Callithrix jacchus: one gene and its partners. The protein of the gene in region 6 binds, or shares a complex with, the protein of the main gene of each other region. Links are inferred from orthologs where the notes say so. Each region holds a gene or a part of one and is shown on either strand. Other genes may lie near its edges. The genes, in order: DRC10, DRC8, DRC3, DRC1, DRC4, DRC7 and DRC5.

Region 1 (4,450 bases), on a different chromosome or scaffold from region 6:
CTACTGAGGTATAATTTACGTTACCATAAAATTCACCCCCTGTAAGTGTAAAAGTCAATGACTATTTTTGTAAATGTATCTAAAGTTGCCACAACACTACACCCCAGTTTTAGAACATTTCTCTCACTCCCCCAAACTCCCATGAGCGAATCTGCAAACAATCTGTTTCCACTCACATTTTTTGTTGTAGTTGTTCTGTTTTTGAGATTCAGTCTCACTCTGTCACCCACGCTGGCGTGCAGTGGCGCGATCTAGGCTCACCGTAACCTCTGCTGTGAGGTTCAAGGAATTCTCATACCTCAGTCTCCTGAGTAGCTGGAATCACAGGGGTGTACCACCATGCCTGGCTAATTTTTGTGTTTTTAGGAGAGACAGGATTTGCTAATTTTTGTGTTTTTAGAAGAGACGGGATTTCACCATGTTGCCCAGACTGGTCTCAAATTGCTGGGCTCAAGTGATCCACCTGCCTTGGCCTCCCAAAATACTGGGATTATAGGCATGAGCCACGGACCCTGGCCTCTACTCACATTTAACTTTCCTGGATAGTTCACAGAAATGGGATCATGCAGGACGTAATCGTTGGCATCTAACTTTTTGCTTAGCACAGTGGTTTTCAACCTGGGGCCACTTTGCCCCCAGAAGACTTTTGGCAATAATCAGGAAATGCACTTGCTTATTACAACTGAGAGAGGCTACTACTGGCATCTTGTGGGTAGAGGTTCGTGTTATTGCTAAACATCTTACAATTGGCAGGATAGTCCCCCGCAACAAAGAATTATTGTGCTCAAAATGTCAACAGAGCTAAGGTTGAAAAATCTTGACTTTTGCTTTTTCCAAAGATAGGGTCTTACTCTGTCACCCAGGCTGGAGTGCAGTGGTGCAATCATGGTTCACTGCAGCCTTGACCTCCCTGGGCTCAGGTGATCTGCCCACCTCAGCCTCCTGAATAGTTGAGACTACAGGCACATGCTACCACATCCAGTTAATATTTGTATTTTTTGTAAAGAGGGGGTCTCACTTTGTTGTCAGGCTGATCTCAAACTCCTAGGCTCAAACAATCCTCTTGCCTTGGCCTCCCAAATTGTTGGGATTACAGACGTGAGCCACTGGGCCAAAAACCCTTAACTTAACATGTTTTCAGGTTCATCCAGGTTACAGCAATAATTAGTATTTTGTTCCTGAATGGTATTTTATTGCTGAATAATATTCCATTCTATGGAAATAACACAAGTTGTTTATCCATTCACCTGTTGATGACATTTGGTTTGTTTCCAGTTTGGGGCTACTAAGGGTGATGTTGCTAAGAACATTTATATTTGAGTCTTTCTGGGAACATATGTTTTCACTTGGTGGGGGTACATTCCTACAGAGACCAGCGTGGCCATACAGACCCCCACCCAGGCAGTGCTAAAGGCATTAAGAAGCAGACACCCAGAAAGAACAGCAAAGTGGGACTATCCTGGGACCAACAGCTTTCAGAGCTGAGAACCTCAGGTGCTGACAGCATTCCAGGCTGAGGGCCTCAAGCAGATTCTGACTCACATAGTTATTCTCTCTGAATAGGTGATTATTATTAACAAACAGGTGTTCTGTGTTTTCTCATAGAACAAAAATAAAGTAGGTAGGCACCTGGTGCCTGCTCACCACTGATCACAGACAAACCAGAAAGCATCCTCTACGAGGGAGCCACAGGGGCAGGGTCACCTCTCTCGCGCTTAAAGATTTATTTTAAGTGGTGTATGATATACAAATACTGTCTTGCTACTTTAGAGTGCCCCAAGTAGTTTTCCACTTGGGGGGGGGGCACGGCTAGGTTTTCCTTGCCATCATTCTTCTTAGCAAACAATATATTTATCATACAGTCAGCATTTCTCAACACATTCCTGAGTGGAATTGCTAGGTTATATGTTAGTTTATTTATTTTTGAGACAGGGTCTCACTCTCTTCCAGACTGGAGTGTTAGTGGTGTGATCTTGGCTCACCACAACCTCCACCTCCCAAGTTCAAGTGATTTTCCTGCCTCAGCCCCTTAAGTATCTGGGATTACAGGGGCCTGCCAGCATGCCCAGCTAATTTTCTTATTTTTAGTAGAGACGGGGTGTCACCATGTTGGCCGGAATGGTATCGATCTCCTGACCTCATGATCCGCCCACCTGGACCTCCCAAAGTGCTGGGATTACAGGCGTGAGCCACCACGCCGGGCTGAGATCACATCTTAAGGACCAGAATGGGGAGTTAAATTACAAAGTTAGGACAAAAGGTAAAAGTGGTATAATAAAAATTACTTTATATATTTATTTATTTATGAGACGGAGTCCCGCTCTGTCGCCCAGGCTGGAGTGCGATGGCACGATCTCGGCTCACTGCAACCTTGGTCTCCCGGGTTTAAGCGATTCTCGTGCCTCAGCCTCCCGTGTAACTAGGATTACAGGTGTGCCACCACGCCCAGCTAATTTTTGGATTTTCAGTAGAGATGGGGTTTCACCATATTGGCCAGGCTGGTCTCGAGCTCCTGACCTCAAGGGATCCGCCCGCCTCAGCCTCACAAAGTGCTGGAATTACAGGCGTGAGCCACCGCGCTCCGCCAAAAACAACACAAAACCTGATTTAAACACTGAATTGAGATGCATGCTCACCGAGGAACGTATGGCCGTTGGGTGGAATGGCAGGGGACTTAGAAACTTCCCTCCAACTTGTTTGATTTGAAATAAGTTAACTACGATGTGACTCTGCTGGACTGGTGTCCTCCTCGTTTTAGGGATGGGGGAGTGGGGCCTTGAAGTGGGCTGGAAGAAAGGGCAGAATGGAGGCCGGCTCCCTGCAGGCTGTGGAGTGAGAGGTTTAGACTTAGGCTGGGGCCGAGGAACAGGGTCCTGAAGCTGAGACGGGATCGCAGCGAGGGCCACTGATTCCTCAGGGAGCCAAAGGGCAGCGAGCTGAAGCCCATTCCACATCTCCCCCGATCCGCGACCCTTCCCTACCTGGTTACTCACCTGCACTGAAGGCTCCAGGTTTCCCTAGCCACAGTTATCGCAGCGGTCCCTGCGTTGCTAGGTTACTTGCCAATCTCAGAAGGCGGGACTTGGCGTCTGACTGACCTTTCTTTTCACCACTCAATTCCTTGTTCCGCTCAGTTGTCCCCACCTCCTGAAGCCTGACCAATCAGAAGCACCATCATTTTGACCTTTCACCAATGGAAAGACTGGGGACTCCCTCTGGGTTGCCCTCAAAGAGTAAGGCGGGGCAGATGGGAGGAGAAAGGGGCGTGGATTATTCGTCCCGCCCCTTCTTAAGGAGGCGGGCAGGGAGTACTGCATCGGCAGCGGGCGAGACCTGCGGAAGGACGTGAGATATGACCAATCAGAACTCATCATGGTATCCCAGTTAGCCAGTAGGTCGCTGTCAAGGGGAAAGGGGCGGAGCCAGCGGGGTTGAGAGGACGGTAGGCGGCGGATGGGAGAGCTGGCGCAGCTGCCGTGGTGGCAGTGGCTGAAGTAGGTGCAGCTGCGGCTGCTGCAACAGCTTCGGGCTCGGGGTTTTGGCGGCGGCGCCGGAGGGCTGGGCTGCGCGGTGCGGACCCCGGCGCATGGTTCGGGTTGCTGGGGCGGCGCGTGTAAGAATCCGAGGGATGCGAGGGCTTGGCCCGAGGGAGAGGGCAGGGACCAGGGGTCAGAGGGCTCGGAGTAAGGGGTTGTGGAGCGGCACTCTGGTGTGGGAGGTGGGCTGGAAGGGCCCGGAGGGGCCGCGGGGAAGGCTTCGGCGCTCTTCTCTCCGTCCAGCCCGGGCGGGGGCTTTGCACCCACTTTCTTCGCCCCGAACTTCTTGGGACGACCCTCACGTGGGCGTCCAGCCAGGGTGTGGGAGCACGTGGAGCTGGAGCCGGCGCTCCTGCCTCCTCCTTCCTCCCTCCCTCGCCCTTCTCCCTGGCGCCCTCAGGTGACCCCGCAGGAGTCTAGTGCCCGGGTCAGCTGCCCCAGCGGACAGCGGGATGGCAGCTGGCCCTCTCTTCCCCTGGGCCCTTTCCCCAGGGTTGGCCATTTGGGTTCTCTCTAGAGCCGGAAGCAAAGCCCGCGAAGGGAACACTGGACCGGGACTCAGGAGTCCCGGGTTCTAGCCCTGCTTCTGCACTGTGTGACCTTGGGCAAGTCTCTTCCCCTCTCTGGGCCTCATTTTAGTCTCCCTGGAAAAATGATGTGTTTGAATTCAAAAATCGGGGGACTGGTTCTAGTCGTAGGTGTATATAGAGTAATGGTTAAGCAGGGAGAGTTCCTGAATTCGGACTGCCTGTATTGAAACTTAAAAGAGGCAAGTTAATCACTCCAAGCTTCAATTTCCTCATTTGTAAAGTGGGAATACAGGCTGAGATAGGATTTTTCAACAGCAGCTCAGTTGACATTTTGAGCCACGTAATTCTTTGTTTCTGGAGGTCTCACCTGTGCATTGTAGCACA
Region 2 (4,637 bases), on a different chromosome or scaffold from region 6:
AGTGGCGCGTGCCTGTAATCCCAGCTACTCAGGAGGCTGAGGCAGGAGAATTGCCTGAACCCAGGAGGCGGAGGTTGTGGTGAGCCGAGATCGCGCCATTGCACTCCGGCCTAGGTAACAAGAGCGAAACTCCGTCTCAAAAAAAAAAAAAAAAAGCTGTCTTTGATTAATTCAAATGTTCTGAATTCAACAAATATGTATTGATTACCTACCATGTGCCAAGCACTCTGCACAATATTCAACATTAACAGATCAGAAATGGTCGCTGACCTTTTGGAACTTACAGGGTAATGAACATATCCTTCAAAATTATCCTCTCTTTTGTGTGATTCCATGGTCATCAAATGACTTCTGAAATATAAATTCACACTACCCAAAGCTTAGTACCCATAAAACAGTATGTTACATTACCAAAATCAGCCTTCAGGTCAATGTATATACCACTATTTAAACTAATAAATCATTCAGGTTTGCACATCAGTCTTTTATGAGTTTAGCTGAGTGAATCCTCAAAACTTAATTCGGATTAATTGGCTAGATGTAATTTATGAAAATTCAAAATAGAGTAGCTGAAAATCAAATATAGTAATGGACTATTTCCATAAAAAGTCTTATCAACAAAGTGAGTCTTTACTTATTTTATCCTCTGACAAAATGCCTTTAGTTCATCATACCCTTCAAACTGCAATTAGTTAATTCATAAAACTGTAAACCATAAATGAGATATGCCATATGAGTACTTCCCAAACTTTAATGTACATACAAATCACCTACAGATACGTTAAAATGAAGACTCTGATTCACTGGTGGGGGGCAGCCAGTAATGCCCAGGCTGCTGTCCGCAGACTACAAAGACACACACCTAACACAGTGGCTGGCACGGAGTCCACGCAGCGCAGTTAACTATTCCCTCCCATTCGTATGCATCTCAGCTCCCTTACTGAGCTCAGCTTTCTTGGGAGCTAAGACAATGTCTTTTTCATTTTTGTATCTTTCAGAGTTCTAAGCAGAATGCCTTATCTACATGAAGTTATTAAATATACGGATTCTGAATGAATGGCATCCAGCTTTTAATAGTCATTACTTCTTCTGTGAGTTGACAGAATTGCATCTCTGAATTTTTCTTAAATAGAAAAATATTGTTCAAAAGTTGAAAAACCAGGAAAGCTCTCAATCTATTTTTTAAAAACGATAAATACTGTATTAGTACCATATTCCTGTTTGTGTCTCATGCTGACCTAACCAAGTGTTTTTTAAGAAAACAAGTATCTGGCTACTTGGCCCCAAAAGTCAAAAAAAAGAAAACAAATATCCATAATTACTTTTCTAGTCTCTCTCTTAATGGTTTTCCTTTTTTTTTTTTTTTTTAATAAGGAACAAAAATAATTTATTCATTTTTCTGGGGAAATCTTAAAAGTAACCTTTTCTGTGTATGTAAGGGCATCTTCATCACGGTAATACCTATAAAATAATCCCGGCTTCTCAGATTCATATCATATAAAATCACAGGATTCTTGCTATCAATAGGCAGACGCTGGCAGTTTCATGTCGCCGCCTATTTTCTGTGATCACCTTAACAAGTGACTAAATAGCTCAGGGCTCGTTTATTAGCTGTGAACCTGACCACACTCGGTTCCATGCGGAGAAAAACGGCACGAGAGGGCGTTGTGAGGATGCGAGAAGGCAAGCAAAGGGGGAATGTATTTTCACTTCGTAGTTGTTCAGTTTCACGGGTTTTGGGACATTGTTTTGTCTTGGTGACTTTGCCAACTACCAAACGCAATTATTCTTGAGAACCTAAGGTCTTGGTAACCGAGGATCGGGTTTTGATCACATCATAAATTATACCACGAATTGAAAACAACATGAACGGTCTGGCCAAGAAACGTCATCCCTTTTTGGCGTCTCGGCGCAGGCAACACATTGACGCCTCTTGATCTGGCGACCTTACGCCTCGAAGCGCACAGCGCCTCTGCAGGCGGCCACCGCGCGGGGCCGGGGGTCCCCGGGGACCGCGGGAGAGGCCCCCCCGCCCCCGGCGTACAGCGGCTCCGCGGTCTCGGCGGGGTTTTGGTGTTTCGTCTTTATTAACATTGCCGTTTGGGTGTATGTCTTTGTTGTGTGTGTTTTTTTTTTTTTTTTTAAGAGTCCAGGCCGGTTGCTCGGCGCCGGCCGGCCGCAAGGCAGGCATTTCCGAGGCAGGAGAAGCTCGGAGGCAGCGGCTGTGACCTCCAGACCGTCCTCCCGCGTCCTCATTAAGAAGGCAAAATGGTGGCGGCGAACGCCATCAGGCTGCGCCAGGGCGGGTTTTCGGCGCCAACAGGATCGCGCCAAATTCTGGCGGCCAGAACGCGTCCTCACCCGGCCGCCCCCGGGGCCCACAGCCTGGACAGCTAAGGGCGTGGCGCCTGCGGCACCGAGAGCCCAGGAGGGTGCGGAGGCGGCTGCTGCTTCCCCGCGGCACTGAACAACGACACCATTATCAGCAGCCCCGTGGCGGCGCCTCCGCTGCAGCCCGCGCCGGAGCCCAGGCCCGGCCTCCGAGGGAGGGGAAGAAGGACGCGGCGGGAGGAGGAGGGAGGGGGGAGGAGGGAGGAGGGAAGAGGGGGGGAGGGGGGAGGGGAGAGAAGGGGGACTGGGGAGGGAGGAGGCGGGGCGGAGCGGCGGAGACGGGGCCGCGCGGCTGCCCCTGCTGGGTGGGCCCCTCCTCAGGCCACCCGGTCCCTGCGGGTGGGGACTCCAGATGGACGAGGGCCCACCCCCACCCGGCGCTGCGCCCAGCAGCCCGGGGTCGCGGCGGGCGGTGAGGGCAACGGCTCCCCGGCTCCCCGGCCTTACCTTCCCTGTCCGTCTCGTCCGCCATCTTGCTACGGTCGCCTGGGAGATGCCTAACGACAACCTCAGCCGCGGGGTCCCGGCCGGCTTAGCGCCCCGCGGCCAACCTGGCCGGGAGGAGGGGCCGCCCCGAATCGCGGGGGAGGAAGACCCTGGGGCGGGGCGCCCGGGGCGGGGAGGAGGCTCGGAGCGCGCGCCCGGTCCCGGCTTCCCGCCGCGACCCTCGCGCAGCGGGAAGACCAGAAGCGCCGTCTGCCAGCGGCACCCGCGCGTCGCGCCACCCGGCCCCCAGCCTTGTCCCTGCGGACCCGAGGCCTAGCAGTGTCCCTGAGTCACACGGCCCCCAGCCCCTCCTGTCCCTTATTTCTCATCCTTTTGGGGGCCGCACGCGCGCGCACACACACCCCTCTCCCCCTCCGGTCCTGTTGGTGCGACGTGGCGTGGCTCGGTTTCTGTTGTTAACTGCAGATTTTGAAAAGCAGCCAGAGAGTAGGTGAAGAGCTGGGCTCCCACGGCGGGGACAGAACCAGCCCGCGGCCCGGCTGCTGCAGAAACGCCGCTCCTGCCTCCCGGTTTCCCCCGGCCAGTCCTCACCGCCCTTTCCCGGAGAAAGCCACAGCGCAGCCTAGGACGGCTGAAGCTCAAACGGAAAAACTGGGCCGAGGAAGAGGAAGCCAGAGCCATTCGATTGCTATTACTAGAGGAGAGAAATAGCTGTAGAAAAACATGCGCAAAATAGGCGCAAACATTGCGTCGTCAAGGCTGCAATTTCTAATCAAAATAGAAGGTTCTCATAGCAACAAAAACGTGCCCGTGTTATGCTCAGTATTACATGCGGTAAAACGTTCTCAGGTGAAATTGAACAGGACCGCTGGTTAAACTTATAATGGAAGTTTTAAATTCTGCTTTCAGGAAACTTTGCAGCTATAGCATGAGGTTAAATTTTTGTCTTATTTTCAGGATAAGTTTACTAGAACGTTTTTCTTTTATAAAGAGCTTTGAAGAAAATACCGAATGATGTGGTTCGAATGAATACCTGTTTTCAAAACTAATCTTAAAGGGTATTTCAGTGCATATGTTATGTAAAAGCAATTTATAAACTATTAACTGTACCTTTAAAGAGGCCTTCAAAATACAAGGTACTCGTATTTAATGACTGAACAATTTGAATGCTTGTATTCTGGTTCTATAATCTCTCAAATCCTAAAACTGACTATATTTTTCTTTGTTAACGTACTTTTTCTGTAGAAGATACCCATTGGATCAGCACCAAATTGAAATTGAATAACTTGAACAGAATATGAATTCAATATTGAATTGAGTTGAAACTGAATATAAACAACTGAATCATTGCAAAATGGCTCGTGTTAGAAATTGAATATAAACAACTGAATCATTACAAAATGGCTTTTGTTAGAAGATGGTTGAATACAGTCTTGTACAAAAAATGTTTAACACACCAAAAATAATGAAAAGTAATTATTAGCATTCCTTTATCTAAATCTCATAGTTGATATGATCTAAATATTTGTGTTTAAAGACTCCCTCTCTCCATATGCATAATGAAGGGCTTGGAAAGAAGTGTAGGAAACCCTGAGGTTGGTCTCAGGCTTACTATTCACTATGCTTTTTCCTGTGCTGGTCACAGTTTCCTTTTTCTTGAATGCCTTTCCCTGCTCTTTCTCCTGCCAACATTCACCCTCCCACAGACACACATTGTCCCCTCCTGGTTGTCCTGCGGGATGACCTTTTGTTTTTGTTTGTCTTTTGTTTTTCGAGACAGGGTCTCACTCTGTCACCCA
Region 3 (3,854 bases), on a different chromosome or scaffold from region 6:
GCAGCTGGGCTGGGCTGAGGCAGGGTCTCAGTACTTTCTTGTTGTTGACTGGATGCCGGCCAGCCTGGGGGCCCCAAGACCGAGCAGGAATGTGAATCAGACAAGGTCAGTCTGCTGTGGCCTTGCCTGCACCTGATACAAGGCGGGGGTCTCAGGATCCCTGGCCACCTCTCTCAGTACTCTAGTACTGCCTCTGCCTTGACTTACTGTGCCGCAGCTTACTGGCCTTCCTGTGTGAGCCAGGCACTGTGCAAGTGCTGTCTCTCCTTGTCCCCCCGCCCAATGCTTGGGACAGGGATGACAGTCATCCCATTTCACAGATGGGACATTGAAGCAGTAAGGGTCCACCTGGTCCTGAACCACATCTTCCCACCCCTGAGGGGCCTCCCTGCCTCATGGCCTGTGCCCCTCCTGCCACCAGCCCGTCTTTGGTCACCCCTTCCGTGAAGCTGCTTTCTCAGTGCCCGCTCTTCCTCCTTCTCCCACACTTCCTACCCTCTGCTCCTGGCTACATGGGACTTCCTAGGCTCTGCCTGCCAGGGACCCCCACTCCAAGGACACCCACATGGAGTTGTGTGATGGAAACAGCATAGTCTTGGTGGCTCACTTAGATTTGGAGTGGGACAATTTTATCTTGTTTTCTATTCTTACGCAGAATCAGGAGTGTCGTGGATATTGAAATGATGAAGACACTAAGTAATGAAGCTTTACAAACATCTGTGCTGCTCCTATGCCTTGTAACCCAGGTAGGCCCTAATGCTGATGTGGGAACCTCCACCATGGACTTTGCATGGAATCCTGGAGCTTGAAGATAGAGCAGAGAAAGCCCGGGAGGCCCCACTCTGGCCACCACCCCTGAAACTTGGGTACATACTCCGAAAGTCCAGCTGCAGGGACAGGACATCCTTGAAGAGAATGCCCTCCTGCTTGGCAAGCTCCCCGGTCTCCTCCTGGGAGCTCTGCTCCCCAACAGCCAGCTTGAGCATGTCATCGTCTATCACCCTTGGCTCCATCGAGTCGTATAGCCGGTTCATTTTCCCCGATGTTTTCCCTAAAAAACACCACATTCCTCCTTCACAGTCTGCTTCATTTTTTTTTTTTTTTTTTTTTTTTTTTAGTGCAATGGTGTGATCTTGGTTCACTGCAACCTCTGCCTCCCGGGTTCAGCAATTCTCCTGCCTCAGCCTCCCGAGTAGCTGGGATTACAGGCATGTACCACCATGCCTGGCTAATTTTTGGATTTTTGGTAGAGACGGGGTTTTACCATGTTGGTCAGGCTGGTCTTGAACTCCTCACTTCAGGTGATCTGCCCACCTTGGCCTCCCAAAGTGCTGGGATTATAGGCATGTGCCACCGTGTCCGGCCACAGCCTGCTTCTTTCTCTGTTTGAGGGCAGGTGGCTGAGGTTTCCCCTTATGGTGTCGCTGTGGCCACTGATACTGAAAAATGCCCCACTTCTGACCCTGGGCCTGCTGCACCTCGGGGTTTGTACATTTGCACCAAGGCTACTCCAGGGCTTCCTGTCCCCCACTGGGCTTGTCCGCAGGGTTTTATCCCTTGACCCTACAGCCACAGCTGGGACTGTCCCTGGACCCACTGGACTGGTGTCCACACTGGTCTCCTTAGCCTGTGATCTTGGCTCATCTTAAGACTGTGGCCCTGTGTCAGGCCTCTGACTTTGTGTGCCCATCCTCATTTGGGCTTGTGGGAACCAACTGCTGACTGTATTCCCTGAGTATCCCCAGCCAGGCAGGTCAGCCTGCAGCTCCTCTTCCTTGAGCACCTCACCCCCTCCAGGCAGTTATGTGTGTATGCCCCCTACCACACCATAAGCTTTCCCTGGTGCAGAGGGAGCCCCTGACCCAAGCTGACCATTCACGTCCTCCCCGTGGCAGATGTGAATTTGAGGCTGTGGAAGGAGAGTGCTCATTGGAGCTGGCCGCTTGAGCTGGGGAGGAATAGGGAGTGTGGGCTGACTGGGCACATGATTAAACAGAGAGGAAGAGCGGGAGGAGGCAGATGCATGGAAAAAAGCAGAGATGGGAAACTGGGAACCAGAAAACAAAAGACAGGACAGACAGACTGACACAGACAGAGGCTGCCTCCTTCCTGCTGGCTTTCCAGTCCCTAATATTCCTAAGTCCATGCCTCATGAGAGTTTCCTGTTTCTCACATGAAATCCTCTTTTACTTAAGCTAGCTCCAGTAGGTTCTTTTTTTCTTTTTTCTTTTTTTTTTTGAGACAGAGTTTCACTTTTGTTACCCAGGCTGGAGTCCAATGGCACAGTCTCGAATCACTGCAACCTCCACCTCCTGGGTTCAAAAGATTTTCCTACCTCAGCCTCCCCAGTAGCTGGGATTACAGGTGTCCGTCACCATGCCTGGCTAATTTTTTTGTATTTTCAGTAGAGATGAGGTTTCACCATGTTGGCCAGGCTGGTCATGAACTCCTGACCTCAGGTGATCCACCCACCTTGGCCTCCCAAACTGCTGGAATTATATGGGTGAGCCACTATGCCCAGCCTCCAGTAGGTTCTGTCGCTAATAGTCCAGAAGGATTTGGCTGAGACAGCACAGCACAGGGGGATCTGTAGACTTGGTCAGTCACACTGCGAGGCTGACCTGAGGCTGCTGTTCCTGGCTGGACCACATTCTTATCCTTACCAACTCTCTTGGTGAAGACATCCAGGAGGGACATTTCCCCCTGCTTTCTCCCTCTGATTCTTGCCTCCCTGCTGTCCCTCGTGTCTCCCCAGCATATGGGCCTCCCTGAACCTCCTGTCCTTCTGCCCTGCTGGTCCCCAATGCTAGGCAGCCCCTGTGCTCTCCTTTTCATTCCACTTGGCTAGAGAGACTCCTAGTGCAGGGCTGATGGTGTCCGCTGAAAGCCAGGTTGGGCCATACAATCCTGTCACCTGGTCTTAAATAAAGACTTCCCTCTAAGACTGCCTTCCTCCTTCCTCCCCGACCATCCATTTGGATGCAGCTTCTGTAAATACGCATCCTCTGTCCTGAACTGTCCCTCACTGGATGTCCCTATGAGCTCTTGCTTCTCTTTTGCTCCTAGGAGAGGCACAACCTTCACACCCTTCAACCCCTACCCCTTCTCCACCTGTGCCTTCTGTCCTCCCAAGACCTTGGTCCTTTTCTTCCCACTCTCTCCAATCTGTTTACATGGGCTCCACCTCAATGAGGTGACTGATTCCACCCTCAAAGACAGTTCCAGCCCTTGGCCTTTCTCATAGCTCCCCACTCTTATGCAATGGATTCCCCTAAGGTTTCCCATAACTTGTCATCAGCTTGTCTTTGGGGGAATTTTAATATGTTATGTTTGACTGATGTTTTCTGCAAAGTGTTTGGCCTCTTCTTTTTTTTAATGGTGCTATACTTTGGGAAGTGACTCTTAATTCTGATTTCAAAACTTATCCCTCCTACTTCATCAGGGCCTGGTACCCGTGACAGATCAAGCTTGCTTTCAGTCAAGCCCAGCAATTGCTGTGCTAGGTAATATGGGGTTGTTATTACACATGCTATTTGTTAAGTACATCAGGGCAGGATTTGGATCCTGACTGTGCATCTTTTGGTAACTCACTTCACCTATCTAAACCTTGGCTTTCCCATAGTAAAAGGCAGATAATTCCTCCCACCTACGTTTGTGTGAGATCATGTATTTAGTCCATACATGTGTACTGAGTAACTGCTACATGCTGTCAATAAAACAGATGGATTTTACCCCTGCTTCAGGCATGAATCAAACAATAATACAAATATTTAATTACAAACCATGATAATTTGTAGGTGTAGGGAACTATGAAATCATACATTAGGGGCACCTGGCCTGGCCAAGGAAGGCAG
Region 4 (3,854 bases), on a different chromosome or scaffold from region 6:
TTCCACTTGTAGGTTGATAATAATACATTTTGGACACATATTGAATGTATAGAGGAACACCAGTTGACCTTTTGATAGTGACTTATCACAGAAAATGATACTGAGTAAATGGTATGTCATCTTAAGCCTGATTATCTGAGAAACAAGAATAGTCAGGGGACGATATTTATGAAAAAACATCCCCCTATATATGCACCATACCAGATAGAGGAACATCCAGGAAAGGCACACATCAATACAGCAAGGAGGCACCTGGGAAACCTTCCCAAAGAAGTGAAATATTGCAAGGGGGTGGGGACAGGAATTGGCAAAAGGCAGTTAAGAGGAGACTCCAGGGGGCCAGTGCTGGTAGCTGGAGTGGCTGGTCTGAAGGCAAAGAGGTAGGAATCAGAAGGTCACACAGCAGGTGAAGAAAATGGGGAGGGCGGGAGGCGGGAGGAGGTGCTTGAGGCAGAGCTTGGGTTTGATGCACGTGGCTGAGATGAGTGGGATCTTCCCTCTTAGTTCAGATTCAGACAGCTTTCCCTCAGCCCGAAAAACCCTTCAGCAGCCCCTGCAGTTTCTGAGCACTACCTTTTTGTCTCTTGCTCCTTTCCTCATCACTTATCACCCAACATTTCATAATTTGACATATCCGTTTGTGCTGCTATAACAGACTCCCTGAGCCTGGACAGTTTACAAAGACAAAAGTTTATTTCTCACAGATCTGGGAGCCTGGGAAGGCCAAGATCAAGACTAGCAGGTTCAGTTTCTAGTCAGGGCTGCATCTTTCAGAGGGGAGGAACGCTGTGTCCTCACACAGCAGAAGAGTGGGAAAGCAAGCTGGCCAAAGGTTTTGGGAGGCCTCTTTTTCTTTTTTGAGATGGAGTCTCACTCTGTTGCCAGGCTGGAGTGCAGTGGTGCAATCTCGGTTCACTGCAACCTCTGCCTCTTGGGTTCAAGCGATTCTCCTGCATCAGCCTGCCGAGAAGCTGGGACAGGTGTGCGCCACCATGCCAAGCTAATTTTTGTATTTTTAGTAGAGACGGGGATTCACCATGTTGGCCAGGCAGGTCCCGAACTCCCGACCTCTCATTCCACCTGACTTGATCTCCCAAAGTGCTGGGATTCCAGGCATGAGCCGCTGTGCCTAGCCACAAACTTTGTTTTTTTCCTTCAACCAGCCTGCAGGATACACTTAACAATCTGAGATCAAAATATGCCAAGCAAATAAAGCAGCTCCAGGAGGAGAACCAGTCTCTAACCTTGGAGTACAAACGTCTCATGACGCAGTTCAAGGAGCTACAGAAAGCCGTGAGGTATCTGAAGGACCTGGTCCTATGGCACTTGTGCCAGTGTCGAGGTGGCAGGGGCGGAGTTCGTATATAGGCTGTGATTTCACTGGACTTGAAATCGTCGGCTATTTTGGAGCCGGACCAGGCACTAGTTAACCCTCTGTGCTGTGTTCCCTTGGCCCTTTACTTGTGTGTCACCTGCCTTTTCTTGAGGTATGTTGGGATGGCTTCTAGTTTATCGTAAGTGGGAATCAGCTGCCCAGGGATGGGGCCAAGCCTGGGAATTAGCACAGCTCTTTTGCATGTTCTTGCCCTGCTGCCAGTTGAGGGGACCCCGGCCAGGCCCTGGGGTCAGCTGGCCATGCTCCGTGACTCTTCTTCACAGGCATTTTGCTCTCATCGATGATGAAAAGTTTCGGGAGATTTGGCTGATGAATGAGGAGGAGGCGAAGGACCTAATAGCCAGAGCTTTTGATGTAGACAGGATCATCCACACCCATCACCTGGGGCTCCCCTGGACAGCACCTGATTTCTGGTTCCTGAAGAACGTGGGGCCTATTTCTCAGCAGCCCCAGAAGTCCACCACGCAGATAGTAGAAGAAATGCTTCTGCGCACAGGTGACGAGAACACTGTCATAGAGCCGCCCTCTGTGAACGTCGGGTCAACCCCGTCATGTTAGAGACAGTCTAGGGAGGAGGGGAAGAGCTCCCATAGCTAGGAGGTAGGAGAGTATGATTATGATGTACCTTTTAAGTCTTCTCCAATCTATAGCTTTTTTCTCTCCCCTGTATTAGAAACTGGTAGTCAGGTCTAGAAACTTGATCAGATGCAGGTCCAATTTATTTTGCTAAATACACTATTGTGTAGTACCACCACTGGGATAAACTGATGTTAAGTTGTCTCTCTTTGTGTGATATTAGCAATCATTGCCATTCATTGTCTGAGATCTATTAACTTTATTAGGGATTGGAGAATGGTGATGTTTTAAATTCTATTCTTGTGTCTTTATTTAATATTTAGAATACTTCTTAAAAGAAAATCTTTCCTTCATTAGCAACTTGCTACCCTGAGATAGTCTGTATAAGAAAAGCAGGATAGATGCTTATTTTTTCTGTTTACCAGTTTTCAAAACAATGGATTGGGTCTCTAGCATCTTCCAAAGGTACCAATGAGTTTTTAAAAAATATTATGAATGCATGAGTTTATACAGATTTGATGTATTTTAGTTTACTAAAGTAATTATCCTTATTGAGGCTGAAATTGTTTCATCTTCGGCCAGTGGAAGCTTCATACTGGCTTCTGGGTCCTTTTGATTCAGCCCTAGTAGTTTTTAACAGCATCCTGGCTTTCCGGGATGACCAGGTGTTCCAGGCATGCCTTATACTTGGAGTCAGCCATTTCTCCAAGGGAACCCTGGTCCTTTTCAACAGGGAATTTTTTTTTTTTGAGATGGTCTCACTCTGTCACCCAGGCTGGAGTACAGCGGTGGAATCTTAGCTCACCGCAACCTCCGCCTCCCAGTCTTCAGCGATCCTCCCACCTCTGCCTCCCGAGTAGCTAGGACCAAAGATTCATGCCACCATGCCCAGCTAGTTCTTGTATTTTCTGTAGAGGCAGGGATTTGCCATGTTGCCCACGCTGATCTCAAACACCTGGGCCAAACGATTCCTTCCCAGAGTGCTGGGATTACAGGCGTGAAACCACCATGCCTACCCAGGGAGCGGTATTTTGAAACCATGCTCTGGGTGCTGGGTACTTATTCCTTTGGGTTGGCCATTGTTTTTAGGACTTTTCAGTGGACAGAGCTGAGTATAGGATTTTTTTTAGTAATAAAATAAATCATGAGTTCATCCTAAATCCTCCTCATCAACAGTATGCCAGAGTTTTTACTTAACAGTATGAAAGTTTATCCACTTTCTTCCAACTTGAAATTCTTAGTGCTCAATGACTTCAAAATAAAGAATCACATGCATTCCTCACAGCACCACAGAGCTGTCTCGGTTGAAAATATCAGCCCTAACACCAACAAATGATTACTAAAGACAGCTCACACTTTTCTATGGTTCTTTTTGTTCTTAAAGTGTGTCCCTCCAGGGGTATACAGACAGATTGCTATGTTTTAAAGTCACTTGGGGCCAGGCACGGTGGCTCATACCTGTAATCCTAGCACCTTGGGAGGCTGAGGTGGGCACATCACTTGAGGTCAGGAGTTTGAAACCAGCCTGGCCAACGTGGCAAAACCCCATCTCTACTAAAAATACAAAATTAGTCAGGTATGGTGGCACATGCCTCTAATCCCAGCTACTCAGGAGGCTGATGAGGGGAATTGCTTGAACCCGGGAGGCAGAGGTTGTAGTGAGCCAAGATTGTCCCACTGCACTCCAGCCTGAGCAATAGAGTAAGAGTCTGTCTCAAAAACAATAATAATAAAAATTTTTTTAAAAGTCACTTGGAATAGTTTCTGTGTGGTTATAGCACCAATTTAATACACATATAGGTATTTTTTTTCATTTTACTTTTGATTATTAGGGATTGCTTTTTACAATTTAATTATGTTTTCTTTTTGTTTTTGTTTTTTT
Region 5 (3,854 bases), about 32 Mb from region 6:
TGCACCACACCTCACCTGTACACACCTGATCACTTGCACCCACCTGCTCACCTAACCACACCTGCTCACCTGTACATACCTGGTCACTTGCACCCTCTTGCTCACCTGCACCCTCTGCTCACTTTCATGCTTCCTCACCCACACACATCTGTACACACGTGGTCACTTGCACCCACCTGCCCACCTGTACACATCTGTATGCACCTGATCACTTGCACCCACCTGCTTACCTGCACCCACCTGCTCACACCTCATCTGCACATACCCACCCCACCTGCTGACCTGTATCACCTCCTCACCTGTATTACCTGTGCCATCTGCTCACCTGCCCATGCCTCCTCACCTGCACACACCTACCCACTTGCATCCAGCTGTTCACCTGCACCATCTGCTCACCTGTCCACACCTCCTCACCTGCCCACACCTCCTCACCTGCCCACACCTCCTCACCTGCACACACCTGCTCACCTGAACCATCTGCTCACCTGCCTACACCTCCTCACCTGCCCATGCCTCACCTGCACACACCCACTCATTTGCATCCACCTGCTTACATGCACCATCTAACCACCTGCACACACCCACCCATTTGCATCCTCCTGCTCGCCTGCACCATCTGCTCACCTGTACCCACCTCCTCACCTGTACACACCTGCTCACTTGCATCCACCTGCTCCCTTGCATGACTCCTCACCTGCACACAGCCACACATGCCTGTTCACTTCAGCAAACCTGCACACTTGAGGCAGAGTCAGACACCAAGGCTGGGAGGTGAGGTGCATCCCCAGCTCACAGGGTGCTGAGGGGCAGAGCTGAGTTGCAAACAGGCCAGCCTGTCCCCAAAGCCCTTGCTCCTTCCATGTTGTGGAGGCTGCATGTTAAACCTCAGGACCTGCTGGGTCTCTCATGACACTGGAGAGATGAAGTGTCTCTCCCTCAGCCTCTTTTATAAAAAACAGCGTTGGGGCTGTGACTCCCAAAGCCGAGGACAGACAGTGTCCCAGCCTCACCCTCATTGGGCCCAGTTCCTCTGTGGCTGTGTGGTGACCAGGTGGGCACGGGCAGACTGGCCTCACTCACCTTGATCTCCACCTGGTGCCTCTCCTCGGCCTCTTCCATCTCCCGATCCTTGTTCCGAAGCTCAGCCTTCTTTTCCTCCAGCTGCCTCCGGGTGATCTCCCAGAAGGTGTGGATCTTGTCCCGCTCCAGCTGGAAGTAGTTGCGCTCCTCCCGCTCACGGTCCAGCTCCTCCCGGATACGGCCCAAATGCTCCTCCACCTGGCCAGGTGCAGTGGGTCAGGTGAGCACTGGGCAGGGGCCCATGCATAGCAGAGGGGCAGATGGCCGGAGAAGGGCAAGGAAGGAAGAGGGTGGAGCCGTTTTCACCTAAAATTAGACAGCTGAACATAAAAAGTTAAGATATAAAGCTAGGAAGCTCCAGAGACAGAATGCATTCAACAAGTGGCAGAATTCTCTTCAATTTGGCCAATAAACATAAAATAACTATATCCTTTCATCCATTTCTGAGAATTTATACCTAAGAAATTTCTCGAAAGAAATATAAGAGCTTGTTGCTGAAAGATATTACCCACACCATTATTACAAGAGCAAAAATATTAAAGAGGAAACCATCTGAGACCAATGTAAACAGGGAATGGGCAAGAGGTACTGGCTCTCGCCTGCAATCCCAGCACTTTGGGAGGCCGAGGTGGAAGGATCCCTTGAGCCCAGGAGTTTAAGCCAGCTTAGGCAACATAACGAGACCCCATCTCTGCAAAAAAAAATTTTTTTTAATTAGCCAGACGTCATGGCACGTGCCTGTAGTCTCAGCTACTGGGAAAGCTGAGGTTGGAGAGTCACTTAGGCCCAGAAGGTAGAGGCTGCAGTTAGTCATAATAAAGCCACTACACTCGAGCCTGGGTGACAGACTGAGATTCCGTCTCAAAAAATAAACAGCCAGGCATGGTGGCTCCCAGCATTTTGGGAGGCCAAAGCGGGAGGATCTTTTGAGCCTGGGAGTTGACCAGCCTAGGCAACATGGCAAAACCCTGTCTCTACAAAACAGAAAAATAAAAATGAGCCCGGAGTGGTGGCACACGCCTACAGTCACAGCTACTGGGAACACTTGGGGAGGACGATCGCTTGAACCTGGGAGCTCGAGGCTGCAGTGAGCCGTGATCACACCACTGCACTCCACCCTGGGTGACAGAGCAGGACCCTGTCTCTAAAACATAAATAAATGAATACAGCAATGGTTGAAAACTTACAGTACATCAACTGGGAGAAATATCATATTACCCAAAAAACAAATATAGAAATGAGGTAGCAGCATTTAAACAGATTCATGTAATGTTAAATGAAAAAAAAAATCATCTTTAAAGATACAATGTTAAGCAAAAAATACGCAAGACCAGCAGACTCCTAACCCTCAAGAGGGTTCAACTGCAAATCTGAAAATAGGTTAAAAAAAATGTAGGACAGGCTTCCAGCTTTCTGGGGAGCAAGAATCAGTTATTTTTTGGGCACAGCCCCAGGCCCCTCCAGCCAGGCGTGTCCAGGTCACCTCCAGCCCTACCCTCTGCCTGGATCCTGAAGAAGTCTTCTGAGTCTGTGGCTCCGTGTGCCATGCGCAGCGCAAGGCCCTGCCCAGTGGACTGCACAGTCACTGCCATGCAAGGCCTGTCTCCACAGGAAGGGGAAGCAAACAGGGAGGCGGCAACAGCTCACATGCTAGGACAAGGCAACGTTCAATCCATTCGGCGGCTCCAGACACCTTTCCAGAACACAAACCTCGCCCCGTCACCTCTTCGCTCAGCCCCTGGCTTGAACTGCCCGTGCTTTCTCTGAACGTAAAACACACACGTCCTTTAGCACGTTTCAAGGACCTCTGCCCAGCTCCAACTTCGGGTCATACGACTCTTCTAGTCTCCTTCATATTTATTTTTTATCTTAATACTACCAAAAAAAGGTAACAATGATTAACAATAACACATGAGCTGACACAGCACGCACGTCCTGGGTCAGAGGCTCATGAGGCAGTCATCCATCAGGGCAGAGGCTAGAGGCTGCACTGGGCTTGCCACAGCCTGCAGGTTTCGGGAGCCTCTTAGGTAAAATTGTCATTACATAATTATGTTCTGTAGCCCTTAACTGCATCCAAATGAAGAATGGACTTGAAATAACTCCTACAAAGAAACTATAGAAACATCACCTCCTCCCCAAAATAAGCATACCCAAGAAAAAGGCAGCCCTGATGGGACTTTTATCAAAAACAATGAATGATCAATCAGACTGAGATGTGATTTTAAGTAACTCACATTTTAAGTTTCTTTTAAAACCTTGCTTTTTGAGATAATGTTTAACTGTGAATAAAATAAAGGAGAATGCGGTGTGTGTGTGTTGTGATAAGCCTATACACAACAGCTGCAAGAAAGGGTCGATTGGAAGAGAATACTCAAAATCAAAAATAGCTTTTAAATCAGAAAAACTTGTCCTTCCAAATTCCTACTGCCCTATTAAAACATTCCATAATGGGCTCTATGGCCTTTTTGAAAACACAGAGTCCACGTGAAAGCTTTGCAGCTGATGGGAATTATGGACCAGGCTGGAGTGCTGGTTCTGGCTTGCACAGAAGAATAGATCCACATGGTGAGATGGACAAATGGTGCAGCCACCTGAGAGGTTCATACAGGAACCCTGCGTGGTGCCCACCCCAGGATTGGGCCACAGCCGGCTCTGCCCACCTGACCCTGCGTGGTGCCCACCCGGGACTGAGCCACAGCCAGCTCTGCTCACCTGACCCTGCATGACACCCGCCACACCAGGACTGGGCCACAGCCAGCTCTGCCCACCTG
Region 6 (3,854 bases):
TAAGTCGAGAGAGTCTTGTCCAAGTTTCTGTGATTATCTAGTTTGAGGACCATTTGTCTAGATCGGGCCTTATTTCACAAATGGGGAAATTAAGTATCAGAGAGGAAATAGTAATAGGCAGCTCATGCCTGTAATCGCAACACCTGGGAGGCCAAAGTGGGTGTATCATTTGAGGTCAGGAGTTCGAGACCAGCCTGGGCAACATGGTGAGACCCCATCTCTACTAAAAATACAAAAATTAGCTGGGTGTGGTGGGGCATGCCTGTAATCCCAGCTACTCGGGAGGCTGAGGCAGGAGAATTGCTTGAACCTGGGAGAAGGAAGTTGCAGTGAGCTGAGATCAAGCTACTGTATTCCAGCCTGGGCAACAGAACAAGTCTCCATCTCAAATAATAATAATAATAAGAAGAAGAAGAAGAAGAAGCCAGGCATGGTGGCTCACACCTGTAATCCCAATACTTTGGGAGGCCAAAGTGGGTGGATCACAAGGTCAAGAGTTCAAGCCTGGCCAATATGGTGAAATCCTGTTTCTACTAAAAATACAAAAATTAGCCAGGCATGGTGGTGCACACCTGTAGTCCCAGCTAGCCAGGAGGCTGAGGCAAGAGAATCGCTTGAACCCAGGAGGCAGAGGTTTCAGTGAGCCAAGATCATGCCACTGCACTCCAGCCTGGGCAACAGAGCAAGACTCTGTCTCAAAATAATAATAATAATGATGACAATGATGATAATGATGATGTCAGCCAGGCAGAGTCCCAAGGCCTTTACAGACATTATATCATTTAATCCTTCTACAAGGTCCAGTTTACAGTTAAGGAAACTGAGGCTTAAAGCCGTTAAAGGACTTGCTTGGGCCCTTAGTTGATCTTGGAGAGAGGGTGGGGCTTGGGTGCCCTGACTCCAGGAACACCTCTCTAATAAGGAAGGGCCTGCAGCTGGGGCAGGGCAGGCCCAGCAGGCAGGGTGGGGTGCTGCTGTCCTAAGCCAGGCAGGTACAGAAACGGCTCCCTGCCCAGAGCCGGGAGTCCTCTTCTTCCACATCATGGGTGGTGCTTGTGACCTCTAATTCCCCTGGGGAGGCCAATGGATCACCTTGGCTTGGCTCTGTGGGCAGATATAGAGCTTTGACCATAACTTCTGCTTCAAGGCCCTGACCAGCACCACCTTCCCCACCCCCTTCTCTCCCATCAGGACAAGGAGGATGAGGATAAGAGCTTCGACATGCCCCACTCGTGGGTGGAGCAGATTGAGATCTCCCCGGAAGGTATTTGCTATTTGTGTGTTCACTTATCCTCTCCAGACCCAGTTCCTGGGCCTCCAGAGGTCTGTAGCAGCAGTGAGGGGGAGACAGCAGTGAGGCGGGGGACAGGTGTGTGCAGCAGCCAGGGGGAGGGTGCAGCAGTGAGGGAAAGACAGCAGTGAGGAGGGGGGCGGGTGTGTGCAGCATCGGGGGCTATGCAGCAGCAAGGGGGAAACAGCAGTGAGGCGGGGGCTGTACAGCAGCGGGGGGGGGTGCAGCAGTAAGTGGAGGGGGGCACAGCAGGGAATGCCCTACCCCACATTTCTTCTCTTCCCACCTTCAGCTGCACCCTGCCTCCTTCCTCCCTTCCTGCCACACACACTCAGCTCTGTGATCCCGAGGGCCTGAAACCAGTCTGGCACACAGGGCAATGGGGCTCAGTGAGCCTGTGTGGGATGATGGCATGTGGGTGGCAGCAAGGCCTGGGAACCCAGCCCGTTCCCCTCTCACACTCTTTTACCCAGAGGAGGCCATGGGTAGTGCCCAGATGGTGCAGGGGGGTCTCAGGACCGGAGAGGGGTAGGTAGAGAAGGCAGGAGGACAGGGACTGTCATGCTCCATGTTAATATCTGCTGGTGCCCACTTAGGAGCACCCAGACTTATGGGAACAGCCAGAGAGGGTGTCATGGGAACCCAGAGGAGGCACACCCAGTTCAGCACTGGGGCTAGGGCCTGGGGATGGGTGGGCAGAAAGGGGTACGAGAGTAGGCTAGGGGTCACTTGGGCTAAGTTTTGAATGCTCCGAAGGAGTCAGTCCAACCAGGGGAGGAGGGGATGATGGTGTTTCTGGTGGAGACCTGTACAGGCAAAGCCCAGCAGTGGGAGAGTGTGGTTGGCTGCGGTCCAGACCTTCTGATGGGGCTCAGATCCCTTTCTTGGGTGGATCTGTGCTTCTGCATGGCCTGAGAAGGCCGGTAACTATTCTCCTCGGCCTCCCTGGATTCAGCTTGGGGCTGGAGGAGGTCAGTACACATCGAACGGGCAGTGGGTGAATGAGTGGCTGGGTAGGGCTGGCCCCTCCCTCAGTGTGGGAAGGAGAGACCCCAGCTGACTCTGTGTCCAAAGCATTCGAGACCCGCTGCCCAAATGGGAAGAAGGTGATTCAGTACAAGAGGGCAAAGCTGGAGAAGTGGGCCCCGTACCTCAACCGCAACGGCCTTGTGAGCCGCCTCACCACCTACGAGGACCTGGAGTGTAAGGGGGATTGCTCTGGCCCAGGCCAGCCCAGGGTGGGGGGCCAGGCCAGCCCAGGGTGGGGGAAGCTTCTGCTCTCTCTGTGGGCATTGCTGGAGATTCCGTGTGCCTGGAATAAGTGGCGAGGGTGGGGGTGGGGTGAAGGCTAGGGGAGCTGGCCCGCTGCAGCAAGCGCCCATCGGCCCCATAGGTACCAATATCTTGGAGATAAAGGAGTGGTACCAGAACCGGGAGGACATGCTGGAGCTGAAACACATAAACAAGACCACAGACCTGAAGACAGACTACTTCAGGCCCGGCCACTCCCAGGCTCTTCGAGGTGCGTGGGTCCCCTTTCCTGGGCTGGCCCGGAGCCCAGGCTGGGGCCTGACACACCCTTTGGCAGCATACATCTTACACAGGGGTTCTTGGGCAGCAAGCAGTGGAAGCGCCCTGCCTCCCTCAGCAAAATCCAAGGAAACGTGACACATGCGCCTCAAACCAGGGCCACATGCCACTTCCGTGGTTGTAATCCGGCAGGAACCTTGCCATGAGGTCACACAGTGGAGGCCACATCTAAAGGAGGCAAGGCTGGGCACAGGGGCTCACACCTGTAATCCCAGCATGTTGGGAGGCCAATGTGGGCAGATTGGTTCAAGACCAGCCTGGGCTATATGGTGAAACCCCATCTCTACAAATACAAAAATACAAAAATTATCCAAGCATGATGGCACTGCTTATGATCTCAGCTACTCAGGAAAGTGAGGCAGGAGAATCACTTTAAGCCCAGGAAGTCAAAGCTACAGAGAGCCGAGATTATGCCACTGTGCTCCAGCCTGGGTGACACAGCGAGATCCTGTCTCAAGAAAAAAAAAAAATCCTGACCAAGAAATTTACAAAAGAAGCATAGCAGGGCTAGCATACATTTAAAAAATGATCAACCTCGGCCGGGCATGGTGGCTCATGCCTGTAATCCCAGCACTTTGGGAGGCCAAGGCAGGTGGATCACCTGAGGTCAGGAGTTCAAAACCAGCCTGGCCAAGGATCAACCTCATTTGGTAGCTGATGAAAAAAAATAAAACTAATAAGGTCCCTAACCAATAAAGGACCATCTTATAACCCTCTTGTTGACAAAGATGAAACAAAGGTCATACTGGGTATGAACAAGTATGGGAGCAACAGTCACTCTTTGTCACTGTTGATGGTACAGCAAATTGGACATTTTCTGGAGGGCCTTTGGGCAAAATATTGATAATGACCTTAAAACGTGTACACTTTTGACTGGGCATGGTGGCTCACACCTGTAATCCCAGCACTCTGGGAGGCCAAGGTGGGTGGATCACCTGAGGTCAGCAATTTGATACCAGCCTGACCAATATGG
Region 7 (4,391 bases), on a different chromosome or scaffold from region 6:
GGGGAACAACCATGGAGAGGAGAGAAGGTGGGGAGTGGGCACAGTAGAAGATAGGAGGCTGAGAGAGTTCTGCCTGCTTCACAGGTTAGCCTTAGTCTGGTCTGGCAGTCACCAGCCTGCAGCTGAGGGTGATAGTAGGTGGCACTATTTTCCCTGGGAGCCTGGAGGGATGGGTGGATACGCAATAGCTGAGGGCTTGGGGCACATAGTCCCCAGGCACCCACAGAGGGCAGTCCTGGAGGTGGATGAAGAGTCACCTTCCTCTCTGGAGCTTTCTTTCCCTGGAAAGCCTGTTGGGTAAGTCAGAGAATCCCAGAGTTTTAAGACTAGGAGCATGTTCAAGACTCCAGTTCTTCTCCAGGGCAGGAATCCTGACAATCCAGAGAGGTCAGGGCTACCAGGAGTAGGTATATATTGTGCCACCATCTGGTGTCCCATCCAAGGGTGTGCTGTGCTCTCAGAGTGGGAAAGTGGGAGAGTGGGACACATGCAGTGGACTTTCACTTCTCTGGGGCCTGCCTCATGAGCCTGTTTGGCTTCACATGGCTGTATCTCTAACCCGGGACCACAGTCCCTAGGGAAAGGCCGGTCCTCATGCTCTGGGCCCCTACTCTGTATCCTCAGGACCAGGGTCCAGGGTCCTGAAATCACATACAGGGAACGACGTCCACATCAGGCCATAACTCAAAGGGTGTGAGGGACTGCTCTCTCCATGCCCAAGCACAGGTAATAGAAAGTGACAAGATGCTCCAGTTCGGCCAGGGTTGTCCTCATTTCTGATGGCTTGAATCTGGTGGACAGGTGTTCTGGGAACCATACCCTTGGCTATATATAGCTATGATTTATTGAGAGCTCTAGGACTTCAATAGCATGTGCATAGCAGGAGGCAGGACAGCAGCTGACTAAGTACTCAGGACTTGTGCTGTCTCAAATCAAATCTCTACTGTGCCCCCACACTATCTGCGCATCCTCAGGCAGGTCCCTGCTTGCCTCAGTTTCTTCATCTATAACATGGGGACAGTACTTAATAGTACCGATTTCATAGGCTTACATAGAGGATTAAGGAGCTAATGTGTGTGAGCCATTTCATATAGTGCTGGGCCCAGAGCCAGCAGTCAAGATGGGTGTTAGAAGTTATAATGAAGGTGCTACATGCCTAACATAATTTTATCAAATTCTTAAATGTATTATTCAGGATTATTATTTAACACTATTGTCCCCATTTCACAAATGAGGAAACTGAAACTTAGAAAGCTTAAGTAACTTACTAAATGTCACTAGCTAGTAAATGGAGAAGCTGAGGTTTTAGTTTGTGTCTGTCTAATGCTCTCTTACTTCCACTAGACAGATGCTGGGGTTGCTTATAAATTGCTCCCAACTCAGTCACTCACAGCACTTTCCAGTGGGTCTCTCATTTTCTCCAGCTCATGAGATCTCTTGTTCACCAGCATGGAGCCCAGGGTTACCCCCTTGGTGCTGACCTGAATAGTCCAGGCTCCCTCGCCCAGTTCACTGCTGGGCACAGGAGTCTTCCGCAAGGCTGGACCATTGCCTGCAAGCTTTGGAGGGCCCAAGGAGCCCAACAGAGTGCTGCAGAGTGGTGCTCTCCCACCCTGGCCCATTCCCTCCACAGGAAGTCTTGGGCCTTCTCCATCCTTCCCCCATCCCCAGATAAATCTAACCACTCTGGGCAGGAGTTCCTTATTCTGCCCTAATGGGAACACGAGGAAGATGCTGTAGGAGAGCGTTCTCACCTTCTTGTGCATCACAGTCCTGGTCCTCAACTGTCCCCTCCTCCCTTCCTCTTATCCAAAAAGTGGAGACACCCAGCCCTCTTTGCGATGACAGCGCCTCTGTGCCTGGGATACCTTCCCAGGAGCTGGCTCTGCACCCACTGCTCTGCCTGCCTTCTCTGCCTTCTCAGTTGCTCCCACCCCAGATCCCCGCAGGAGAGCCCCCTCTGTCCTCAGGGCTTTGGGCTTTTGTCTACACCCGCCTCCATCTCTTTCATGCCCACCATGTCTTACTTTGGGGCAAGTCACTCCCAAGTTGGGAATTCTATTTGTGGAAGGGCAAAAAAGTTTCTCCAACAGAGCTCGGCGAGTGATTGGACTTGGGCTGGGTGAAACCGCCAGCTCACTGGCCACGATCCCTGGGCTGGCCTCCTCCCGGCTGCTGTTCACTGAGGTCTGCTGTCTCAAAAGGGACTCCAGCCTCTCTGTTCCCCACTTCTCCTCCCTACCTTCAGCTCAGACACCCCAGCAGGGAAGCTCAGCTCCAAAGGCCACGGGGTCCCTCCCGCATCCTACCTGGGGTGTAGAGGTGCTGGCTTCTCCTTGGTAACCCAGGGAAACCGGCAGTGCCGTGGGAGGGAGGGAGATGCGGAAGCTTCTGGACCCGCGGGAGGGACTGCAGCCCTCGGGTGCTGGGGACAGGGACCGCCTTTCGGAGAAGTCTGGGGCCCCAGGGCTTAGGGCCGCTCTCCACCACGCCCTACCGATGCCCCACTTTCCACCCCCACTTCCTTCCCACGATCCTTCCCCTGCCTCACTCGGATCCCAAGCCCCGGCGCACACGGTTTGCAGTGACTGTGGTGAGGAGAGGCACGGGGCATCCTCGCGTGGAGAGCGTGGGGTCTCCCGTGGGTATGGACTGGCTGGCTCTTCCCCCAACGGGTAACGGAACCCAGGCAATGGCCGCCTGCAGGCTTCGGGCCGGTGTGACCGAGGACGCTGGAGGGGCTCCGAGGCCCTGCCGGACTGAGTGAACCCCGATAAGGGAGACCAGGGCTGGGTGTCCCCGCTCCCGGAGGTCGTCTCACCCGCTCCGGGAGCCCGGGCGCTGGCCTCACGCAAAGTCCCGCGAGCCAGTGCGGGTCACCGTCGTTGGGGACGCCCCGCGTCGCTAGGGGCGGGCCGGGCGGAGAGGGCGAATGCGCCGCGCCTCGGAGGAGGGGACGCTACTGCTTCCTCAGCTGTCGCTGCGCACCTGGCACGCGCCTCATTCGCGCTCACGGCGCCCAGGCCATGCCTCGGGAAGGTTCAGTGGAAGCGGCCGCTTTGGGGGTCGTGGGACTGTGGCCTTGCGCTATGCCCTGTGCTTCCGTGGGACGTGTCTAGGAACGGGTGGACTTTCTAGGGGGCTGGAGGTAGGAGACCCCGGGCAGGGCTGCTGGCCTGGAGTGCTTGTGCTCTCTTGGTAGCTTTTGTGTGGCAATGGATAGGGAGCTGGGGGTGGGGAGTTGGTCCAGGAAAAGCGTCTGTGGAAGATGAGGGTGGACGGACCTTTCTCCCGGGCAACTGTGGAAGTCAATGGAACTCCCCTGAGGTCTCCTGGTGACCTTAGGCCCTGCGGGAGGGCACCTTCTACCTTTCTCTCAGCTGATGTCTGGCACTAGATGCAGGAAGGCCAACAGGGTGCTCCTTCACACAGCCCATGTCCTGTGCCAAACCCCCTTCCGGCCCTGGTGCGACAGGATGTGGTGGGAGCCCCTGATCTCTTGGAGGGCAAGAGGGACAGACTTCAGAGGGATGGTTAGTAAAAAAAAGAAACTGGCTTTCAGGAAGGGAGAGGCAGCCAATGAGGTGGGGGTTTCAAAGGGTAGCTTTGATTTCAGTTCTGCTGAGGACTATTAGTTGGTTACCCTGGCCGAATACCTTGAAGCTCTGTTAACTCATCAATAAATCAGGGGTGCTACAACTCATCTTGGTGCCGGCAGAGCTTGGAGCTGGGCCTGTGGTGAACACTGCCGAACAGTGGCTACTACTCTAGTGGCCAGGATGCTTTAAAAGCAGTGAGGGGCCAGGCACTGGGATTGGGTCCCTTCAAGCCCTCACCGGTGCCTTACCAGCAAATCATTGGTGCCTTAATTAGAATGAGAAACTGTGCAGAAAATGATGCCAGGCGGGCCCACGCTGCTCAAATAATTTTTACTAGACAGAACTTGGTAGCCAGGGAGCCCTTGATTTGAAGATGGGTCCCCTGAGGCCTTTTCCTGCATCTAGCAACAGAGATCTAGGAACAGAGGCAGAGGTCCAACAGGCAGAGGTCTGGCTGTCTGAGGTGGACTCATTCTGATAGGGAAGGAGGGCTCCCCTCCATCTCTTGGCTTCCTCTTGCTTTGAGCTGCAAATTTTCAGCTTCAGCTCAGGCTTGAGGCAGGTGCTGTACAACTTGTTTTAATCAGCATATTGCTTGTCTGACCCCGATCTCCAACCTCATCACCGGCTCCTATCCCAGCTGACTGCTCAGTGGCACTGGCCACCTCACAGTCTCCAAATTGGCTGTTCCCTCAGCCTGGAATGCTTTTCCCTTAGATTTCCACATGGCGCACACTCTCACCTCCCAGTTCCCTGCTCACATGCTGCCTCTTGGTGAGGGAGGTACCACCA

Evidence for each region.
Region 1: DRC7 (region 6) and DRC10 share a complex: the UniProt entries of both Homo sapiens proteins name them as parts of the nexin-dynein regulatory complex. The link is inferred for Callithrix jacchus from reciprocal best matches to the Homo sapiens genes DRC7 and DRC10.
Region 2: DRC7 (region 6) and DRC8 share a complex: the UniProt entries of both Homo sapiens proteins name them as parts of the nexin-dynein regulatory complex. The link is inferred for Callithrix jacchus from reciprocal best matches to the Homo sapiens genes DRC7 and DRC8.
Region 3: DRC7 (region 6) and DRC3 share a complex: the UniProt entries of both Homo sapiens proteins name them as parts of the nexin-dynein regulatory complex. The link is inferred for Callithrix jacchus from reciprocal best matches to the Homo sapiens genes DRC7 and DRC3.
Region 4: DRC7 (region 6) and DRC1 share a complex: the UniProt entries of both Homo sapiens proteins name them as parts of the nexin-dynein regulatory complex. The link is inferred for Callithrix jacchus from reciprocal best matches to the Homo sapiens genes DRC7 and DRC1.
Region 5: DRC7 (region 6) and DRC4 share a complex: the UniProt entries of both Homo sapiens proteins name them as parts of the nexin-dynein regulatory complex. The link is inferred for Callithrix jacchus from reciprocal best matches to the Homo sapiens genes DRC7 and DRC4.
Region 7: DRC7 (region 6) and DRC5 share a complex: the UniProt entries of both Homo sapiens proteins name them as parts of the nexin-dynein regulatory complex. The link is inferred for Callithrix jacchus from reciprocal best matches to the Homo sapiens genes DRC7 and DRC5.

What each region holds. Positions count from the first base shown.
Region 1 is NC_133510.1:116,196,946-116,201,395, forward strand, and holds the start of DRC10 (dynein regulatory complex protein 10), read right to left. Parts: upstream 3,035-4,450; 5' UTR 2,994-3,034; intron 2,661-2,993; exon of another isoform or gene 2,637-2,660; intron 316-2,636; exon of another isoform or gene 177-315; intron 1-176. UniProt on the Homo sapiens protein: Component of the nexin-dynein regulatory complex (N-DRC), a key regulator of ciliary/flagellar motility which maintains the alignment and integrity of the distal axoneme and regulates microtubule sliding in motile axonemes.
Region 2 is NC_133520.1:41,227,989-41,232,625, forward strand, and holds the start of DRC8 (dynein regulatory complex protein 8), read right to left. Parts: upstream 2,943-4,637; 5' UTR 2,942-2,942; coding exon of another isoform or gene 2,864-2,941; coding exon 2,839-2,863; coding exon of another isoform or gene 2,760-2,838; intron 2,759-2,759; coding exon of another isoform or gene 2,744-2,758; exon of another isoform or gene 2,653-2,743; intron 1-2,652. UniProt on the Homo sapiens protein: Component of the nexin-dynein regulatory complex (N-DRC), a key regulator of ciliary/flagellar motility which maintains the alignment and integrity of the distal axoneme and regulates microtubule sliding in motile axonemes.
Region 3 is NC_133506.1:69,176,010-69,179,863, forward strand, and holds part of DRC3 (dynein regulatory complex subunit 3), read right to left. Parts: intron 1,052-3,854; 5' UTR 1,035-1,051; coding exon 875-1,034; intron 1-874. UniProt on the Homo sapiens protein: Component of the nexin-dynein regulatory complex (N-DRC) a key regulator of ciliary/flagellar motility which maintains the alignment and integrity of the distal axoneme and regulates microtubule sliding in motile axonemes.
Region 4 is NC_133515.1:88,557,599-88,561,452, reverse strand, and holds part of DRC1 (dynein regulatory complex protein 1), read left to right. Parts: intron 1-1,163; coding exon 1,164-1,298; intron 1,299-1,659; coding exon 1,660-1,892; intron 1,893-3,854. UniProt on the Homo sapiens protein: Component of the nexin-dynein regulatory complex (N-DRC) a key regulator of ciliary/flagellar motility which maintains the alignment and integrity of the distal axoneme and regulates microtubule sliding in motile axonemes.
Region 5 is NC_133521.1:47,664,781-47,668,634, reverse strand, and holds part of DRC4 (dynein regulatory complex subunit 4), read right to left. Parts: intron 1,279-3,854; coding exon 1,081-1,278; intron 1-1,080. UniProt on the Homo sapiens protein: Component of the nexin-dynein regulatory complex (N-DRC), a key regulator of ciliary/flagellar motility which maintains the alignment and integrity of the distal axoneme and regulates microtubule sliding in motile axonemes.
Region 6 is NC_133521.1:15,604,390-15,608,243, forward strand, and holds part of DRC7 (dynein regulatory complex subunit 7), read left to right. Parts: intron 1-1,191; coding exon 1,192-1,264; intron 1,265-2,365; coding exon 2,366-2,494; intron 2,495-2,684; coding exon 2,685-2,813; intron 2,814-3,854. UniProt on the Homo sapiens protein: Component of the nexin-dynein regulatory complex (N-DRC) a key regulator of ciliary/flagellar motility which maintains the alignment and integrity of the distal axoneme and regulates microtubule sliding in motile axonemes.
Region 7 is NC_133505.1:52,760,506-52,764,896, forward strand, and holds the start of DRC5 (dynein regulatory complex subunit 5), read right to left. Parts: upstream 2,874-4,391; 5' UTR 2,822-2,873; exon of another isoform or gene 2,310-2,821; intron 1-2,309. UniProt on the Homo sapiens protein: Component of the nexin-dynein regulatory complex (N-DRC) a key regulator of ciliary/flagellar motility which maintains the alignment and integrity of the distal axoneme and regulates microtubule sliding in motile axonemes.